2 linked regions of the Arabidopsis thaliana genome follow. The protein of the gene in region 2 interacts with the protein of the main gene of each other region in a pairwise test. Each region holds a gene or a part of one and is shown on either strand. Other genes may lie near its edges. The genes, in order: PRE1 and PAR2.

The links.
Region 1: the proteins of PAR2 (region 2) and PRE1 interact in a two-hybrid assay, tested with the Arabidopsis thaliana proteins (one study listed by BioGRID).

What each region holds. Positions count from the first base shown.
Region 1 is NC_003076.8:15,952,311-15,962,677, reverse strand, and holds PRE1 (basic helix-loop-helix (bHLH) DNA-binding family protein), read right to left. Parts: upstream 5,311-10,367; 5' UTR 4,990-5,310; coding exon 4,864-4,989; intron 4,528-4,863; coding exon 4,375-4,527; 3' UTR 4,119-4,374; downstream 1-4,118. UniProt on the Arabidopsis thaliana protein: Atypical and probable non DNA-binding bHLH transcription factor that integrates multiple signaling pathways to regulate cell elongation and plant development.
Region 2 is NC_003074.8:21,754,982-21,764,973, forward strand, and holds PAR2 (phy rapidly regulated 2), read right to left. Parts: upstream 5,410-9,992; 5' UTR 4,938-5,409; coding exon 4,581-4,937; 3' UTR 4,369-4,580; downstream 1-4,368. Other genes in the region: AT3G58830 (haloacid dehalogenase (HAD) superfamily protein), read right to left, coding at 191-307, 460-567, 655-728, 816-893, 1,002-1,671; PMD1 (Tropomyosin-like protein), read right to left, coding at 2,518-3,474; AT3G58860 (F-box/RNI-like superfamily protein), read right to left, coding at 8,761-9,102, 9,185-9,325, 9,435-9,992. UniProt on the Arabidopsis thaliana protein: Atypical bHLH transcription factor that acts as a negative regulator of a variety of shade avoidance syndrome (SAS) responses, including seedling elongation and photosynthetic pigment accumulation.

The sequences.
Region 1 (10,367 bases), on a different chromosome or scaffold from region 2:
AACATGTTTCAATCTATTTGCAATGATTTTTGAGATGACTTTATAAATGACGTTGCAGCACGATATCGGTCGATAGTCTTTCATTTCTTTCGCCTCCAGTTTCTTTGGGATGAGAGCTAGAATGGTAGTATTAACACCCTTTGGTAGAAAACCCTTTTCAAAAAATGATTTGACTGCCAAAACAAATTCTGCACCAATTATATCCCATGCCTGCTTGTAGAATTCAGAAGTGTAACCGTCCGGACCCGGAGATTTATCATTTGGCATTGAGAATAAGGCTCCCCTTATCTCTTCTGCTGAAACTGTTGCAGTGAGCATATCCTTTTCCGCTGTGGAACAACGATAAGGCAATAGAGATGTTAATTTCTCCACTGCTATTCCCTCATAATCATTCGGGATTAGCTGAAGAAATTCTCGAAAAAACCTTTCAGCCTCGTTCTTGATATCATCTTTAGTTGTGGCAGTACTACCATCTTCCTTCTGAATTTCGCGAATAGAGTTTTGAGCTGCTCTAGCGGTTGCTGCGCGATGGAAAGTTTTATTGTTTTTATCCCCAACCTTTAACCAATGAAACTTTGATACCTGCTTAAGATACTTCTCTTCAATGCTAGCTATCCTGTCCCAACGATCATAAGCTTCCGATTCTATTTCCATAGCTCTTTGAGATGGATTTTGTGAATTACTCTGTTGCGCCTGACAAAGACTGAGATAGGTTTCTCTCGTCCTTTTCACCAAATTGCCCATTTTTTCCTTCGCCAAGCCTCGAAGTTTTGGTTTAAGAGCCTTGAGCTTCTTAGTGAACCGGAACAGGGACGACGTGGACATGTGTATAGGCTCTGTTTCTGTCCAAAAATTTTCCACCAAAGGTTTAAACTCCTCCATATCGGCCACAGCATTCACAAACTTAAAAGGCTTATTTCCTCTCACTTGTGCACCAGAGTTCATATTTAAAATTGATACGACACCGTAAATGGTCAGAACACCCTCCCGCTTCAAAAACATTATAAGATTGTGGGTAGACCATCTTCCAAGCCTCATTCACCATAACTCTATCCAGTTTTTTCCAAATTGGGTCATTATCTCTCTTATTGCACCAAGTAAAAAGGGCCCGTGAGATGCCAAGTCTGAGAATGAGCAGTAGTTCACCAAAGACTGAAAATCTCGCATACCGGAGGTAACTGCTGGGTGATCTTCCATTCGAGAGTGCTCATCCATATCCAAAATTTCATTAAAATCTCCAAAAATTATCCATGGTTTATCACGAATGATCGGAGAGTCCATATGATCGGTGAGATGATTTTAATATATGAGTACTTGGAAAACTCAGCCTCGATAAGTATATATTCGGTTAGTGCCTCACAGTTTAAGTAGTTGTATTAAGAGTTATTGAAAAGAAACTAATGTGATTTTGGTTGTGACATTTTCTTAGACAAAAACCAAAGCTCTAAGCTAAACTGGGAGAAGAGGGTCCAAATAATTAATGGAATCTCTCGGGGACTTTTATATCTTCACCAAGATTCGCGGCGTCCTATTGTCCATAGAGACCTAAAACCGAGCAACGTCTTACTTGACCAAGATATGGTTCCGAAGATATCAGATTTTGGGATGAGTAAACTCTTCGACAAGCGTGCGACAGCAGCTAACACAACAAAGATCGTCGGAACTTAGTAAGCAAACAAACTATCATCGTTACATTTGAAAATAAAGCAAACACTTTACAAAACCTCACAATTGTGTTTCTTGTTGCTTGACAAAGCGGCTATATGTCTCCGGAATACGCGGAGGAAGGGATTTATTCAACAAAGTCAGATGTTTTCAGCTTCGGAGTCTTGCTTCTTGAGATTATATTTGGGGTTAAAAACAGAGACTTTTATAGATACTCGGAGAACGACGAAAGTCTTATTACATATGTAAGTGTAATAATCATCCAAAGCATTTTCGTCTTTTTTTTATATTTTTTATTGTGATTGATATAAACGCTTAAAGCTTTGTTTATGATGAATAGATATGGAGGAATTGGAAGGAAGGTAAAGGGCTCGAAATCATAGATCAAATTATCCTTGATTCATCAACATTTCAACAACACCAAGTTAAAAGATACATACAGATTGGTCTCTTGTGTGTTCAAGAATGTGCTGAGGATAGGCCCACGATGCTATCAATCTCTGTCATGTTCGCAAGCGACACAATAGAGATCGCTCCGCCTGGACCGCCTGGTTATTTAGTCCGTAAAAGTCAACTTGAGACTGGTTCCTCCTCGTCACGAAAGAAGCGAAACGAAGAATCTTGGACTGTGGCAGAAGTAACCTATTCGGCCATTGGACCTCGGTAGTCCAACGACGTGTTTCGCAAGGAACTTTATTTATGGGAGAAAGATTCTAAAAGTTGTTTCCCCGTGTAGGAAGTATCTTGGAAATTGATTAAAAAAAAAAAAACATAACAGAGTACTGTAATTTGTATTTTATATTGTTTTAGCCTGTTTTACTATAAAGAAAACATAACTTAATGACGTTTACACTAACTTAGCTAAAACCTCCATAACCAAAGCTTCACTCTCTAAGCTTCTTGAGTCTTTGGTTGAAATAATCAACAAATCTCCACCTCGACAAACGGTTACATCTAATATTCATTTACCTGCTTCTGATGTCATTACACAACTTTGTCCTTACACAATATGTCAGTAGGATTGACCAGAGAGTACCAATCTTGGTCATATCCCTTATGAAGTGTAGCTCAACTTCTATATGTTCCCGTTTCATATTTTTAGACAAACATATATAGCTCTTGGACTGTCACAGTTCACTTCATATTTTGATTGCAAAGAACCAATTATTATAGCAATCTTTTTATCCAAATTGTTTCCTTGATGCTCTCTGTAAGAGTCATATTCATATATATACTCTGCTTTTGTGGTGGATAAGGACAACGTGTTGCAAGCATCATCTCCAATTTTCAAGATACAAAAGATTGCTGTTAAAACAGAGAAATAGAAAACAGAGTGTTTGATAAGTTTGTGTGAAACTTGTGTCGCTGTGGAGTTTGGGGAGAGATCACCTTGGAAAGACTTCTCCAAGAAGAATTCATACATGATTAAAGGGAAGTAAAATGAGTTTACTTGTTAACCTTAGTTCATGTTCTTAGATACAGATGTATTTGAATTTACTGTAGAAATTCTAAGTATATCTTTTACTTCTTGAAGTGATCTAATAAACTTTTGTTGCAGCCGAGGACTAGTGGTTGGTTTGAAAGAGAACCAACCGATACCTTGTTAAATATTGTGTCGTTTCGTTATTGCTCTATTGTTTAAATCGTTTCCGCTATTTAATTATTCTATTTAGTATATCTCAAAATTTTACAATAATAATTCAAAAAGGGTACAAGACCTGAAAATTGTATCTATGTAACAAGAAAAAAAAATTAAGATCGTTTTAGGTGGAAGAGTGTAACAAAGCTAGTCTCTGAATGCTCTCCTTTTTCATGTAATTCTTCTTGTGATTATTTTTATAGCTATATGGCTTAAAATTAGGAGTCGGATTTGACCAGTCTCCTAAACCCTGAAAGGACCAAACCGGTATAGCTATATGGCTTAAAATTAGGAGTGATAGATTTGACCAGTCTCCTACGCCTTGAAAGGACCAAACTTGTCTAAATGTATGTACATGGGTGCATGTATATCAATATGCGTATACGTGTGTTTAAACTTTAAACTACATGCATGTAGAATTATGAGATATCAAATAAAACTATAACGTTGATTTTTATTTAATTTCTTTGTGTGGACGTCCTAAAAGGCAAAACTTTCCTTTAGATGTGTATAAACGTTTTTGTGACAGTTAAGATGGGGTTTCTTTTCCCCTCCAAAATGGCTAAGAGTTTATTTGATTTTGTCTTCTATTTCTATTTTTGCTTTTTATCTCTATTTTGAGGTTTAGATGATTTGTTACCTCAAAAACAATGTGCCAAATAACTTTTTTTATTCCGTATAAAATTAAATGCTCGCAACTAACAATGTCCTCTCGCAATTTTACTGTCCTTGACTGACACAATCGAGTTCAGACATCACAATCTCTGTTTTTTTTTTCTTTGTTAGGGAGAAAAAAAGAAAGATTCTTCTCCACCAAATTTCATCCCACTGGTTTATTTTAATAATGCACCTGCTAAGGCAATGCTCGTGCAGTTCTGCTACACACATATATGTCGGAGACTTTTGACTATGGAATTAACCCTATGAAATTCGTATGTCATTAAAGATCAAGCCCATCTCTTTGAATTTTACATAATAAGACGATTATGTTAAAAATATAATTATTATAGAGCGATCATTTAAGATTACATGGATAGGCTTGTCAAAAACAAACAAAAGAACAAAAAAGATTACATGAGTAGGCTTCTAATAACGGCGGCTTCAGGGCTATCTTCATCGACAGATTCGAGAAGCTGAGACAAACGCTCGCTCAGATTGTCAACTTCTCTGTTCAAATTTCGTATGTAATTGCATGTCTCTTGCAATACTTTCGAGGCTGATGCCTTCAACAACAAAAACGAAATAAAATCATAATCATTATAATATATGTTTTTTGAACCAATGCATGCGCTTTTATGCGTTTGCAGATGCATGCAAGCTGATGATTTTGATGTAATCTCTTATGTAAATATGGAAGAAAAAGGTTGTGAATATTGGTATATATGTTCCTTAATGTCCGGAGTCAAAAGTTCCGACTTCTTTTTTCTTTCTTGTTTGATTTTAGTGTCCACTCTTCTTTTTACAAAACTTTTGTTCTTTCCTTTTTTGGATAGGTTTACACGATGGATAATGTTAAATGGTCGTTATAAATGAATATATGCATATATTATGCGTGATACCTTATCAGAACGACGTCGTTGACCAATCTCCGGCAAAATTTGACGGAGCTTAGATACGAGGTCAATCATTTGATTATCGGAGATCCTTGGAGCACTTGAAGATTGCCTTGATCTTCTGTTCGACATGTTCAACAATGTGGCAAGAAAAGACCCTAACTAAGTTGTGGATTCTTCTCTCTTTCTTTACTTCTCTCACACTAGCTCAAACAAGTTCTATTGAGAAATAGAAATAGAGATATAATGAGATCGGCTATGTCTATGTGGCAAGTAGGTGTAAGCTTTTATGATTTTATAAGGTTTTTATGCTGAAAGGAAACGACCAAGAAGAAAGAAAAACTAGAGAGCAAGAAGAAAATAGAGAAGAGAATGAGAAAAGTGTTTTGGGGTTTTGAATACACTTCAAATATAAAGAAATTGAGAATGTGATAAGAGAGATTTAAATAGGCCAATGGACCACAAGAGAGAGAGAGCGACGGAGAGCAGCAATAAACCTCGACAATGATGTCACGGGAGAAGAAAGCGATAGATTGAATGCCCTTAAACCACAAAACTTCGAAATCATTTTTTATTACAGATTTCCAAGCCGTATATATACATATCATCAGTCGAGACTATTACCAATCATTATACGAAGGTAATGGCGGGATTGAATTATTTCACAACGTTTTCAATCATGGTTAGTTAGTTATTGTGTATAGTTCAAATGATACACAAGTTTCAAGATTCGTAACTTTTTAGGATTTTGTGGAAAATAAGTCTTGAAATCGTCCATTTCTACTTTCAGAAAATATAGAATAATTTTACAAAGTGAAAAATACTACGCAATATAACATTTTTTGCTATTGTCAGATTTCGTCAAGTTTTAAAAAAATTGAGAAGTATTATATCAAATCGAAGCCCTCGAGACAAAGAGTTCAACTCTTCTTTAATTTAGATTTTTTAAAATGTATGTGATCGTGAATACGTTTACAATATATGTATAAGGAATATATTGCGTATTATTTTTGTTTTTTTATGATTATTCTGCATATTTTAGAAGTAGAGGGTAAAATTACAAAAATAGATTTCTCTTAGGATTTGTTTTACCAAAACCCCAACTTTTTATGCCTCAACTATCCAAAAAAAAAGAAAATGATTATGACTAGAATGGATCACAAATATACATATGCTTAGTTATTGAAAATTTTACAGTATAATTCCTATAGAGTGGATAAATAAATGGGTACTAAATTTTTTGAATAATTGGAGGAGATTTGAATAGTTAAATGGAGGAAACGAAAAGTTCCCAAAGATGGGGTTGATGAAGGTCAAGATAAGTGTTTCATGTTCATCTAACATTGTGGCCCTTCATCTGCAATTTCACAAAAAGGCAACTACCATGTGATGACATGACTTTTCATTCAATTTTTTTTCTTCTAATATTAGAACTAGTATTATCGCCTAAATTGTCTCTCTAAATTTGTATTCCACAATATCTAGGTACAGTTTGTATATTTATCTGTAAATCTTGTATATTACCAAACTATATATTTTAAACTTGTATAAAATATATAGTTCCAAACTTGTATAAAAAAGCATAGAGAGAATTATGTAAATTCTATCTTCCATACTAACTACATTTGTTTTAGAAAGGAAGAAGCCTAATTATTGACTCCTATGGAACATTGTTTTCTAACTGCTAAGCCATAAATAGTTTCACCTCATATGTAAAATATTTCGTGTGATAACTTTTAAAAAATTATAGAATGTCAATGTAACTTAAAAATAGTAGATATAAAACAAATATTTTCTATAAAAGGATTATTGTTGATTTTGCCGTTTTCATCAAAATCTTTTGAAAAAGTCATTTTTACTAAAATTTTACGAAATTGTCATTTTAGTACTTATAAATGTACGTATTTACGATATTATTTTTACAAAAATAAGTATTTTATATTAAATGCTAAACTTAAAAAACAAAAAAAAAACTCGACTAAACCTTAATATAACGAATAAAAGCTATGCTAAATTTCATTTTTTAGACTGAAAAAGAGCAAAATCCACAAATTATTTAAAAAATGACAAAATCCATAAATATCATTCAAAAAATGGTAAATCCATAATTAATTCTTTTATAAAACGTGAAAAGGAAACCAAATGCTTAAAAGAAACGTATCTATCGGCTTTAAAACTTCGTTCAGACCATTTATTTCAAACTTCTTCGCACACTTACACTTTGCCTAAAATAATTTATTTAAAGAATTTTTTTATTTTGAAGTGAATAAAATCGCATGTCTCATATAACTTAATTTAATTGTTCGATTGGTCCATTATTGGTTGAGTATTAATTTATATAAATGTTCACAAAACATCGACTATGTCACGTGTCACCACCATGTCTCGTGTTACATGCTGCCCTCGGGTCCATAAGATCAAAATTTTAGATATCTTGTTGTCCAATAACATTATCAATAAAGATCCGACAAGTATGTAACAGTCGAATACAATTATCTGTTTGAACATATTATTATTATTATGAAAGGTTATATAAATTTCGAAATCCCTCATTATCCCTCAAAATATTTCGTTTGTGTGGTGTATTAATTTATCACAACATTCTATTTCATTAGTAATTCAATAACAGTTTAATATATTCTCACCAACAAGAAAATATAAGTGAGAATGGTTCTCTTCCGACAGGTTTGCATGACATGGATCGGATTATATTCATAGTTAACGAAATCAATGTTACGTTACGTTACTTATTAAAAGTACTTTTTGCTCAATATATACTAAATATATAAGAAAATTATTTTCTCCATCGTTGTGCTTGTTATATAGCCAAACATTTCATTACTCTAACCGATATCATCCGACATGAAATTCACACTTATAATTCAAGAGAATGACAACAGTATAGTAAGTACACCATATATATGTCAATGATCTATCCACCACAAAAATTCAACGAGAACATTAATTCATACAATTTTTTAATAAAGCACATAATTAAAGAAAACATTTATCAATTTTTCTTATATGTGTGAATACAAGAATATATATAAAAGTGTGTTGGTGTGTGTGTGTGTGTTTTATATATACAAGATTATTAAAGAAAGTGACCATTCTAATAAATTGCAAAGGGAGATTTTACATGTTAGTCCATGTGGGTTCGGGTACTAAATGTTTGGTCTCATAGGCTCCACAATGTTTTTGTGTCTACTTTTTCGCAATTAATTCACATCTTTACAAACATGTTGTAAAAAACACGAGTAATCATGTGGAAATGAAGGACTCGTTAAATAAGTAATTTATAAAAACTCACTTTGGAAAAGTTGAGCAATTTTTTTTTTTTCCAATGAATTACAAAAACACTATAGTACGATAATATGCATTAATGGCACCAATCATATCTTCGCAGTGAATAAAATAACAATTAAAAAAAAACATTGAAAAAGTCGTCAAAACGGCATCTTCGATTCTATGTTCAAAGATTTGAATTATTCAATTATATTTATAAATATTTGATCAGGTCGAAATATACAACACACATAAGATGTCCAACAATTATATTTATAACTGCGAAATGTTTCTCTGGATTTAGCATGAGTATTCGAATTACGCTGGAAATGTCGAACAAATTCCACGGATAACATGTCCCTTGATAAGAATTGTTTCGCCATCATATATTCACATAATCACATCACAAACAAAGCATCGACAGATTGTGTAGTGTGTGTGCACACACGTAAAACGGTAGACTTTTGCCGTGTTACTACAATGGCAATTAAGAAGATACTGATACATCTATGTAATTCTATCTATTTACAGTAAGTATCATTAAGAAAGTACATTAAATTTAATTCCATATTTTCTAAATTCAAATTGAAGACTCTAGGTAAATAGGGATTCTTGTCTAAAATGCCGTTTAAAAAAAAAATCTAACAATAATATTTTGAATAGTTTACGAATTCTGCCATTTTTTAACACTTAAGTGTACATATTACGAATTGTTTTTGCAAAAATATGTCTTTTATATAAATTAAAATGATTAAATCCAAACGAGTAAAACGCATCTTAAATCACATTTTTGTTGTCTTAAAATATACAAAATCTACAAACTATTCAAAAAATGGCAAAACCAACAATTAAGTTAAATTAAATACTTTACAATTAAGTTAAGGATCATTTTTACGGAGTGACTCCAATTTATTAAAAGAAAATACTTCAATGGTAATAAAGTTTTTTTATTTTGATATATTTATCTAGTTAAGAAAAAAATCATTTTTACTGAGTGACTCTAATTTATTAAAAGAAAAGACTTCAATAGTAAATAAATTTTTTACTTTGGTATATTTATCTAGTTAAAAAAAGGAATTTAAATGATATATCTACACGAAGATCTGGATTTTTCACTCGTATATTTTTCAATAGTAGGTATCAACTCTTAATAATAAGGAATACGTAACACATTATGGTCCAGGTATAGACCAATATATATTTCATGGTCCCCTTTAACCATTTTTCTCTCATAATTATTACACAATCATGCTTTGCATAGGCTTCTCCAAAACAATGAGCCTCATGCTCATCAACAGCAAAAAAGCTTTACTATCTAACTAAATCTATTCATTATATTGTTTTAGTCTTACCTTAGATCGGGAATTACATCACTCTACAAATGTGGTGGGGAAAATTACGTATGTTGTTTACATAATCTGATAATCATAAATAAGAAAAGGATATCTTATTTGAAATCGTTTAAGAGGGGGTATTGGACGCATGAGTTTGATAGAATTTAATAGAATCATAAATTCTGGTGTTATTCAAGTAGAGATTTTACAAATTCTTTTAAACTCTTGTGTTATTAAACTTACTCATTTCTTAATTCTATTAATTGCAATTGTTATTCAAGTTTATGTTGAAATTGTATGCCATCGTTACTTGACAGGAATTTAATAGAAAATTTAGTTTAAAATGTGAAGAACAAATTCTCTGGTTTTGAGTTGAGATTTTGATAGAATATTTCAACACATCCAAAATTCATCGTCTACTTTTCTCCTTCATATGCTTTTCTCAAATCTGAGGGAGAGTGTTATTAATCTAACACATCTACAATTTGTGATCTCATGATCCGGCTAATTGCTCGTCAGATCATCATCCATTAGATTATATTGAGGGGGAGAGTGTGTAAATCGAGAGAGAGAGAGAGACAAAGAGGAAATAAATGGTGGTGATGACATTGTCGTTGGTGTTAAAATAGGGATCTCTTCCATAAGTTTGATAGAATTCCATAAATGTCAACGTAGGTCATTTCTGGGTAGAAGAGATGTTGGTCGTTTCTGGGATTTTTAGGGTTTGGACATGGTGGGTGATAGAGAGCAACGTAGAACAATAATTCTATAGTAATTCATTGATATCTTTTTAATTCTAGGAAAATACTGCAAAATAAATTGTTAGAATTGAAAAGAAAGATTTGAAAATCTTTTACAATACTTGAAAATCTATAATTTATGTCTTCAATT
Region 2 (9,992 bases):
TGCGTAAATGTTCTTTTAACTATGAAGACCCCTGATATGAAGATCTTGCGGGTATAAAAATACAAGTACAATATCAAAAATGGCATTTTTTATCATGATGCATTTGGCCAAAACCCAAACTCAAAATTTCAATTACAAAAAAAAAACAAGGAACAAAGTTGTTGTTGCAATAGCAAAATGAGAATCCTTCTTACAAATCTGATGGAACTTTAACAAACTGTGTTATATCTGATACCAAACTATGATCCACAGGCTTCAAACCTTTTCTCAACCAACGTTTCAACAAGGCCAACTCTAATCTCCTCACCTGCAACAAAAAAAATGAAATAACCCCATTCAGCTATATTGTACAACATTTTTGGAAAGCTAAAAGTGAGATGCAGAAAATAGTTATGTGCTTACTTCCCCTGAATCAGTAAACCAAAGTGTACAGTTAAGGAAGAGGAGATAAAAACCAACCTGTCTAACAATGAAAGGCTCCTCAGCTCGACTCAAAGGCTCGGTTAATACGGTTAGAAATCCGTTTCTGTTCCCGTAAACGATATCTGTGAAAGGTCGATCACCCACCTGCCCACAAACACTTAAACACATAAAGATCTTATCTACCAAAAATCAAATTACCAGTTTAATCCCTAACACTCATCATGAAATTACCATGATTAGCTCTGAAGATGTGCAACCAAAGTGTTTCTCAACTTCTTCAGCAGTTCCTGCAGGCTTCTTCACTCCTAAAATCATGATTCAAAAACAATCCTTATCAGTTACAATGCTAAAACATCCAAGGTAACCACAGTAGATCAGAACAAGTCACTTACTATGCCTCAACACTCTAATTCCTATTTCAGCCTCCAATGCTTTAGCTTTCGAATCATCATGATCGTATTCCGTGAGCCCTGATAGTATTTCACCAAACCCGAAAGTAAACAAAAGATGTTAGCTTAAACTCCAACAAAAACCAGACAAACAAACAAAAAAAATTCAAAACTTTATCCAAATGTTACCAGCGGAATTGCTAAACACGGCGATGTCATGGCCAAAAACGGCTTTACACCGCTCAATGGAAGGACGTAATGGTGGCCAAATCGCTAGAGAATAAGGAGCCGTAAGAGTGTTATCTTTATCAAACACTACACCTTTGAAGCCCTTTCTCTTCAGCACTTCCCAATCAATGTATCTTAAATCTTTCACAGAAACATGCGGAAGAACAAATTGACGATCTTTAACAACAACGGAGACCGAAGAAACGATACCCTCAATATTGATTCGTTGCCCAAGAGCCGCTTTCAGATCTGCCCACCACATGTTCGACGAAATTGCCAACCCTTTGTTGTTGTCTTCTACTCTCGGCAACACCAATTCGCGTGGCTCTCCGTCGAATTGTTCCGGGATCCGGTTAGAGAATCCTGGGTCTTCGGTGGGAGAGCTAAATTGGTAAAGAAGAAACGAATCTTCAAACGTGGGTAGACGCAGATTCTGCTTTTGGCTTCGATGGGTTGTCGTCGTTTGCAGAGGAGACGAAGAAGAAGACGAAGGAGGAGGAGGAGAGCAAATGGGTTTGGTGGAGCAGGAGATGAGATTAGGGTTTCGTTTGTGACGAGGAGGAGAAAGAAGGAAGCTTTTGGGGATTGGGTAGTAGGAAGTAGTGGAGGCAGCCATCGATGGGGTCTGCATCTCAGCCTTCTTTATAATAAATATTGTTGTTTTACTTTTATTGACCCTAAAATGTAGTTGTAAGTTGTTTATCGAGAATTTCCAGATTTCTTGGAGCTGTTTTAGAAAAATATGATGACTCTTTTCCTTCCACACGCTTTGATTTCCAAAAATATAAACGGACACTAGTCAAATTAACCTTAACAAATTGACAAGTCAAATTGTATGTTTTGCTCATGTGTCCCTCTTGTCTTAAAATGGTCACCTTTCAACACATTCATTTCATGGCATCTCCATCCACTATGCGTGTTGCAGATTTTGAAGTATCTGAATCCAAAAACGGTCCCTTGATATGCTCTTCCAAGAAGCAATTTTAAAACGGTTCTAATGTAAAGTTAGTACTCGTGGACTTAGGATAAAGAACTATACTGGCCAAGCAATTCTGTTTGAATCATGTTTCTCTTAAAATCCAGTAAATAGAAGACAAGAAGAAGTGATGACGAACGGTTCCGAAATGCATTTTGTGGCATATTATAAGGTGAAGTTTTTATCTGTTCCCATTCACAAAACCATGCTAGCCAAACTACCAACAAACATAACAAACTCAAATCCAAACCCAAAGAAATTTGTGGCAAACCTGTGTAAATCCATTCCTGAAATCAATCTTAAGACAGAGTAGAAGTGATAAAGAACAGTTACCAAATGCTGATCTCATCAACAAAAGTATGATAGCCAACAACCAACAAACATCACAAACTCAAATCCAAACCCAAAACAAATTTGTAGCCAACCTATATAATTCCATCCCAGATATCAATCTTAAGAACTTGGTCATCAGTTATTCTTTCACTAACATATTCATCAAAATCACCTTAGCTTAGAATAGCAGACGAAAAAGGTCGCTGCAACCAAACCAGCAGCTCCAACTGATCCAGCAGCAACCACTGGCCACTGATACTCAGCTTCCAAGGAACCCTTTTGGTCACCACCATTTGTGTCTCTGACTCCATTACTAGGCTTCATGGTTCTCTCATTCAAAGCAAAAACCGTCTTGTTACCTTCCTCAACCTTCTTCAGTAACTCGTCCTTCTTCAACTCCAGCTCCTTCTCTCGTTTTTGAGTTTCACTCAAAGCTTCCTCCGTGAGCTTCTTCTTAGACTTCCATTTCTTCAATTCTTCTACATTCTTCACCAATTCCAGATTCAAAACAATGACTGTCTTCTGCAATTCCTCAATCTCTCTCTTTTTCTCATCATCTATCTCCCTCATTTCCTCTTCTGATCTAAGTTTCTTACTCTTCTCCTCCATTTCCCTCACTTCCAAAACCCCAATCTTCCTTTCCAAATCCCTAACCCTCTTCTCAACCTCAGCTCTATCTTTCCTTAAACCCTCAGCTTCCTTCTCACACCCCTCCAGCTTCTCCACTATCTCCGCCAACGCTTTCTTCAGCTCCGCCACTTCTTCCGCCGTCTTATCCACTCCGTTCAAGGAAGTGATCAGATCGTCATGAAGATTCGACACCTCAGTTTCAAGCTCCACAGCTCTAGTAGAAATAGCTTCCAAAGCCTTCTTCTCTTCCTCGTACTCCTCGATCTCTTTCTCCATCTCTCCGAATCTCTGATTCATCTCCGCTTCTACGTCTTTCATCTCTTCAATTTCTCCCGTAAGCCTCTCTAACCTCTCCTTCAATTCACGATTCTCTCTCGTGAGCTCCTGATTCTTGTTCTCCATATCCTCAATCTTCCTTTCCAGTTCCGTCGTCTTTACACCACCTTGATCGTAGTCAGAGATCCCCTTCGCCGCACGATCTTCAACATCCGCCATTTACGCTTCTACTAGAGAAAATTCAACACAGAATTAAGACTCAATAACACGAATAACTCAACAAAATGTAAAGTTTGATGCTTTAGAGAAGAATCAGTCACTCTGACTTTTTCCCAGCAATCTCACACATCAATCATCATGATGATGATAATGACATTTCGTTAATCGGAAAAATCTGGTATGACGAATAACAAAAAAATAGTAAGAGAATTCTATTGAGGTTTACCTTCCGATTTTCCGGTGGAGGGATCGGCTAATCGGAAAGATTCGATTTTTAGGGTTTATACTTTACAGAGTGAGTGACAACAAATGGCGTTGAGAAATTGGGCGGTCCTGAATACCCACGTGTTTAAAGCAAGTCCACTTGGCTGCATCATTTTCAGTGATCTCTGTTATATGGGCCTTAAGGTCCATTAGTAGTTAAGCTCCATCAGGCCCAAATCGTTGCTTGCAGAGTTATTATTATTCTTGTTCGGTGAGTTCTATTTTGTCTTCCTTGTTTCATGAGTTTTATATATGTTTTTTTTGAACCTTATTGGTAATGCGCTCTATCAGACCCAAGTCTGCTATTATCGCTTGCAGAGTTATTATTGTTCGTTTATTCTTTGTTCGATGAGTTCTTTTTTTGGCTTCCTTGTTTCATGAGTTTATATGTTTTTTCTGACAATATTATTGGTGACTAAATATAAAGATAAAGAAAAAAATAATTATTTTTCACTTCTTTATTTGATGTAAATTAAATGTTAAATTTTATACCATTTTCATTTTCATTTTTTGGTGTAAATGTCAATTATTTTCATTTTATTGGCATGTGTTTTATCAAATCTAATGGCTGGAGCACCGAAAGTTATATACTTATATTACTTATATGAATTTGAGATATCAAAGGAGAAATTGTGGAGATAAAATTTTCATTTCTCGTAATATTTTGGAATAAAAACACATAAGATTGTTTTTTTTTTAAGAACTAAATTATGAACCCGAACTAAACAGCAATATATAAAAAAAAAAAATATAAGGTGAAAATAAATGAAAAAACAGAGAGAATTCCAAATTGTTTTTTTTTTTCTTCTGATTTTCAGAATTCTAAATTGTTTGTTCAATCTTCAACCTCCAAACTTCATATCTTTTTTCTCACAACGCTCAAGAAACGTAGTAAGAACTTTAATGGCATTGATCTGACATTGCAGAGCCAAAATGTAACTAGCTGTCTCTTCGAACAGCGCGTCGACACCAAGTTCCGTTCCTCCGGGAACTATTGTCTGAAGCGCCTCGATCTTCTCCTCCACTCCTTCTTCATCTTCATCTTCATCTTCTACGTCGGTCTCGCTTACACTCGCCGTTGCATCGGACAATCTCTGTCTGGTTCTGCGGTTGAAACCAGTGGAGCTTGTGTTCACGGCGGAGGATGGAGACGGAGGAGAAGAGCGTTTGGTATGGGAAGTGGCTAGGGTTTTCTCCATTGACGGAGGGAGAGAAGATGTGTTGGAAGAAAAGGAGTAAAGAGACCTGTGTGTATTTATATGAGTGATGTGAATTAGTAGATTGAAGTAGGACCGGTTAAAGTCATTCCGGTTCGTTTTACTTTGGTTTACTCTTGTTTGCCTTTAATGATTTGATTATGAGCTGAATCTTAGTGCGTTTGGTTAAGACTTTAGTTTAGTACTATGTTTTGGTTGTGCGATTTAGGTTTGGGGTTTGGCTATAATTTTGGAAATTGGGTAATGCCGGTATGCCATCAAAGCTGGGTCCAGTTGTGATTTTCTTTTCTTTTTTTGTTCTTGAGTGTTTCGAATTATGTGTTGGAGTGTTTGTTTTGTTGGTTTATTTATTAAGAGAGATTTTGGATCGTGATTGTCACGCGCTATGTTGTGTGGTTTAGTGGAGACGTCACTTTACTCAAGTGGATCTCCCTGAGGTCCTGACAGATAGATAGATTGTATCTTTATTTGTCTTTTAAAACACTATACATCACAAAAGTTTAATACATAATTGAAAATATGCGTGTCATTAACAAATTTGTAACATGCTTAGTTTAGTAATAATAGAGTTATCGACATGTGTTTAAAACTTAACCCAGACTTTGACTTGTGGGTCTTTGTTTTGTATTCTTTTCGGAAACATTAATGATGTGTTTGAATCAATATTTCACCATAAAGATAAGCTAGTTATTTGTATCTTACAACTTAATTATGCATGCATACGACAAATGCAATACATGCTCTTCATCCAGATTTCAAACCAAAAATGAATGAAAATATGTATTAGAGTTAGCTTGACCATTCTCTTATATAATCCATATTTTTTTTGGATCAGGCGATTTTTTAAAAAATGTGTTGAAGATATAAGATGATGCATGGACCTTAGAATGTGAGATTAAGAAAACAATCAATCTTAACTTGTAACTTATATATTGATTTGATTATCATATTAGGTTACATAATTAACATTTCAAGTTTCAAACTTGAGCTCAGCTTGACTTAAATCTAGTTAAGAATGGTATATTACTAATCACAAATTAAAGAGCTAATCCCACATACTCTCTCTCTCTCGCACGTTAGAAGAAGGGAGGAGAGGAATCACCTGCGACAGGTGCATGGGAGCAGAGGAGATGGGAGCCACAAAAGCTCCGTAAAAAAGGAAAAGAGAAAAGGAAAGCACATGTGCTCACATGAGTTTCTCCATCTATCTTAATATTAGCTCGCATGTGCCTCTCTTTCTTACTTCCACACACATTATGATACACTCTCTCTCTCTCTCTCTCTCTCTCTCTCTCTCTCTCTCTCTCTCTCTCTCTCTCTCTCTCTCTCTCTCTTTATAATAGGGAGAGGAATGAATTAATAGAGAGATACAGTTGTAGATAGTGAAGTGGTGGTGGTACTGGTACCATGATGATCTACTTAACTAGTTGCAGTTGCACAGAAGAAGATCCACATGATTTTCCATCTCGCATGGGAGCCACGTGACATCTTTTATGGAACCTACCTTTTCATTTCCTACTATTCTATCCCTAAATCTTTTGTCAACTCCCTTTTTTTTCACTATTTCCAAGAATTTCCAAGGAAGTGTTTATTATAGAGAAACCATTTAAAACAAAAAAAAAAGGAGAATAGAGAAAAGTCGTCCTCATGTCGGCATTAATCTTTGCACAATTCACTCGAGTTCATCCTCTTTTTTATTTTTTTCAACACAAGGCTATATTTTAATTTTTAAGTTTAACTACTTATTTTGTTATTCTTATTCTATGGATATAGTAACACTCCGTATTTACTAAATAGTTATACTAGATTACTAGTTACTTAAGAAGTTCCCTCACCATCATAAATCTAATGTTATTATATCGAAGTTTACAATTATAACTATATTAATAACTTAACAATTAATTTGATAATATATACTACAAGAGAAAAAATCGAGGGTAGGTGATGTTTCCAAGGAGGGAACGGAGAGGGGGTTGGTTTCTTGGGATTGAGATTATCAGTATTGGTTTCTTTCACCATCGACCAACCTGACACTTACGCCAATTCTAGTCTTTATATTGGTGGGTTAATACGATATTTATATCAATATGTACACAAACTTGCATCAATAATCGACCCTAAAAAGATCTACATAGCCAAAGCTCTACATAGCCAAAGCTCTCTTCTATTAGCATTGGTTAATCATTATTCAACCGCAACCTTTTCTGTCTTCTTTTTTTATTTATTTTTTTGATCAAACATTTTTTCTGTTTTTATAGTAAATGTTTTTTGGTCATCTAAATTAATAGTCACATCAATGGGGTTAGTTAATGTGCGTTGTTAAAACAAGAAATGGTGTTGAGAGATGAGATCATTGGTCTTTTTTGAGGGGAAGAATGGAAAAGAAAGTAAGATGAAGAGGACAAAAGACAAATGATATGTTATGGTTTTATTAGTTGCAGATTATTTGTCTTCTCATTTTGTGGGTGAGAAATATGGGCCAACCAAGTAGACCCAATACGACGGTTGATCTTTTGGGACAATGGTTACATGGGTGTGGATCCCATCTGCATCATACATTGTCTGTAAATCCGATTTTTTTTTTTTTTCTTCTAGCATGAATAGAATCATATGTTCATATTATTTCTGAATTTTTAAACCCACACCACGATCAAAACATCTTATAAGCTCCGATGGAAACCTTGTAATGTTATAATCGTCATCAAAAACAAATATTTTGATCTTCTCATATTACAAAATGATTAACAACTCTATAAAATTACTATTTTAAAAAACTAAAATTGCATTTTGAAGTGTCCAAATGTCCACTGGAACTTGGAGATAATGACATTATTTCAGAAATTAATTCGTTTTTGAATAGTCAATGAGGACCAGATTTGGTTAGATACGGTAAAGACGCAAATCACTAATTCCAAAAGAGAACGTGTTTGGATGTATTCGTTCTTCAGATGTTAATTGTTGCTGTATTAGCTCACATAAACAAAACAAAAGCAAATTCTACAAAAGGTCTACTACACACATTATACAAGAACATTAAATATGGTTTTCTTTGATGTAGAATAGATTTAAGTGTATAGTGCAGATTTTGTTTTTAATTGACTCCGGAAGAAGAAAACAAAGTAATGCTCGTGACATGGGCGATCCACTGCCACAGCCCACATGCGTCGGATCTGCCATGAGAATATCATCAACATCATAAGTGATTTCATCATAAAGATCATCATCATGTGCATGTGCAACGATCGCATATTCTCATCCTATCTGTCACCAGGTAAGTATGGCTACAACAAAGTTGTTTGTCCACAGCAGAAACAAAACAATTTTTTCTATAAAAAAAAACACGTAACAGTTTGTGTCGGTGATATTTTTGTACTAACAGGTTTGAAACATACGATATGTATTTGTTCCGAGCGATCAAAGCCAATTTTGGTATTAGTATACATTTTTGACATACTAGAACATATACTAGTATTCTGATTCACGTCCAAACGATAAAACACTAGAAAACAGAGGTATTGTAACCAAAGAGAGTCATTAATTATTCAACTAGGAAAGAACAAAAGTTTGTACTTCAAGCATTACTTAGTTTTCCCATAACACTTGATCATTCTCCTATTAAAAAGATAAAAAGTTCGTGCGTAGAGCATTCTCCTATTAAAAGCTAAAGATTGTGAAAACGTAAAATTTTGAAATTGTAGAGAAGCAGGAATGGTTCTGTCTAGTACATGAATCAAATCGTACTTAAGCAGAATAAAAAAAAAACTAAAAAGAGAAACAACGAAAGCAAGTTTCATCCTCCAAGACTTCATTTTCGAGTCCACCTCCAGTACAAGGGAGCCAGCACCCTGTAATTAATAGTGCAACTCGACATCTCGTTGTATTGCATCAGCGTATCCTCGACAATTTCAAGCCATTTAGGGATTTCAAACAGAGTAGGTTCCTTTGTTTCGACAATTATCTCCATCTCCTTCAAACTCGGACAAAAGTCCAAGAAATGCTTTATCATGTGCACCTCTCTGATTGTTCCTCTAAATCCTTGAATCTGTATCTTATTCACAGGGCAAGCCATGAGCGAGCGCCCTTTCTTCTTTCTAGGAATGCAGTCACAAACATCCCCGCATTTATTCGTGACAGTGTGCAAGAGTCCCTGAAAAAGCATAAAGGAGACTATAAGCGATTTCCAAAGTCCAAAGCGGGGAAACTAAGAAAAATGTTTTGGTGTTTTATACCCCAAGGTACAGAGTTTCCAAATTTGGACAGTTCTTTAGAAGAAGTGGCATTGCTTGCCATCCTTGCTGCATCACAGTCCTAATATTTAAAGTGGTAAGGTTTTTAAAAACCGGCATGGCTTCACAGGAAAGAGAGAGCACCTGAATCAAGAAACATTGTTATACAGTACTCCACGAATTGAGACAATGATCTTCGGCTTTCCTTCTTACAAAAAAACTAGCTGAAATAAGTGTTACATAGGAAACTTACCTCGAAAGTAACAGGGGATATGTGAAAGATCTCAGCGTTTTGTATTCCATGAATTAGGTTCCACACATTATCTCTTGCTCGATTGATTCGATCTGCAGTAAGAACAAGGTTGATCCCAACCTCAACTAAGTTTTTCAAGTTTACTATTGGATAATCCTCTGCAACGTAATCATAGTAGTCTAAGAAAACAAGATTCGGTGTATCGAATGACAAAGTGCCTAAACAGCCGTCTTCGGAGGTAATCTTAAGGTTCTTAAGGCTTGAACTTGACAAGATCACATTCCTATCCTTCCACTCCATATTAAGCAGCATTAATTCCTCAAGGACAGGACAAGCAGGAAGAAGTGTCTGAAACTGACCCCTACCAAACTCAACTGATTCAAGAACAAGAGTCTTAAGCATCGGTAAGAACATGTCATCGTCCCACAAATAAAGATCAACTCCATATCCTGTTTTTAGCTCAACTAATGTCTTACTCACAGATATCTCGTAAGGCAGCGAATATTCTTCTTCGAAATCCATGAATAGAGCAAGGTGAGAAACACCGCGTTGCAACAC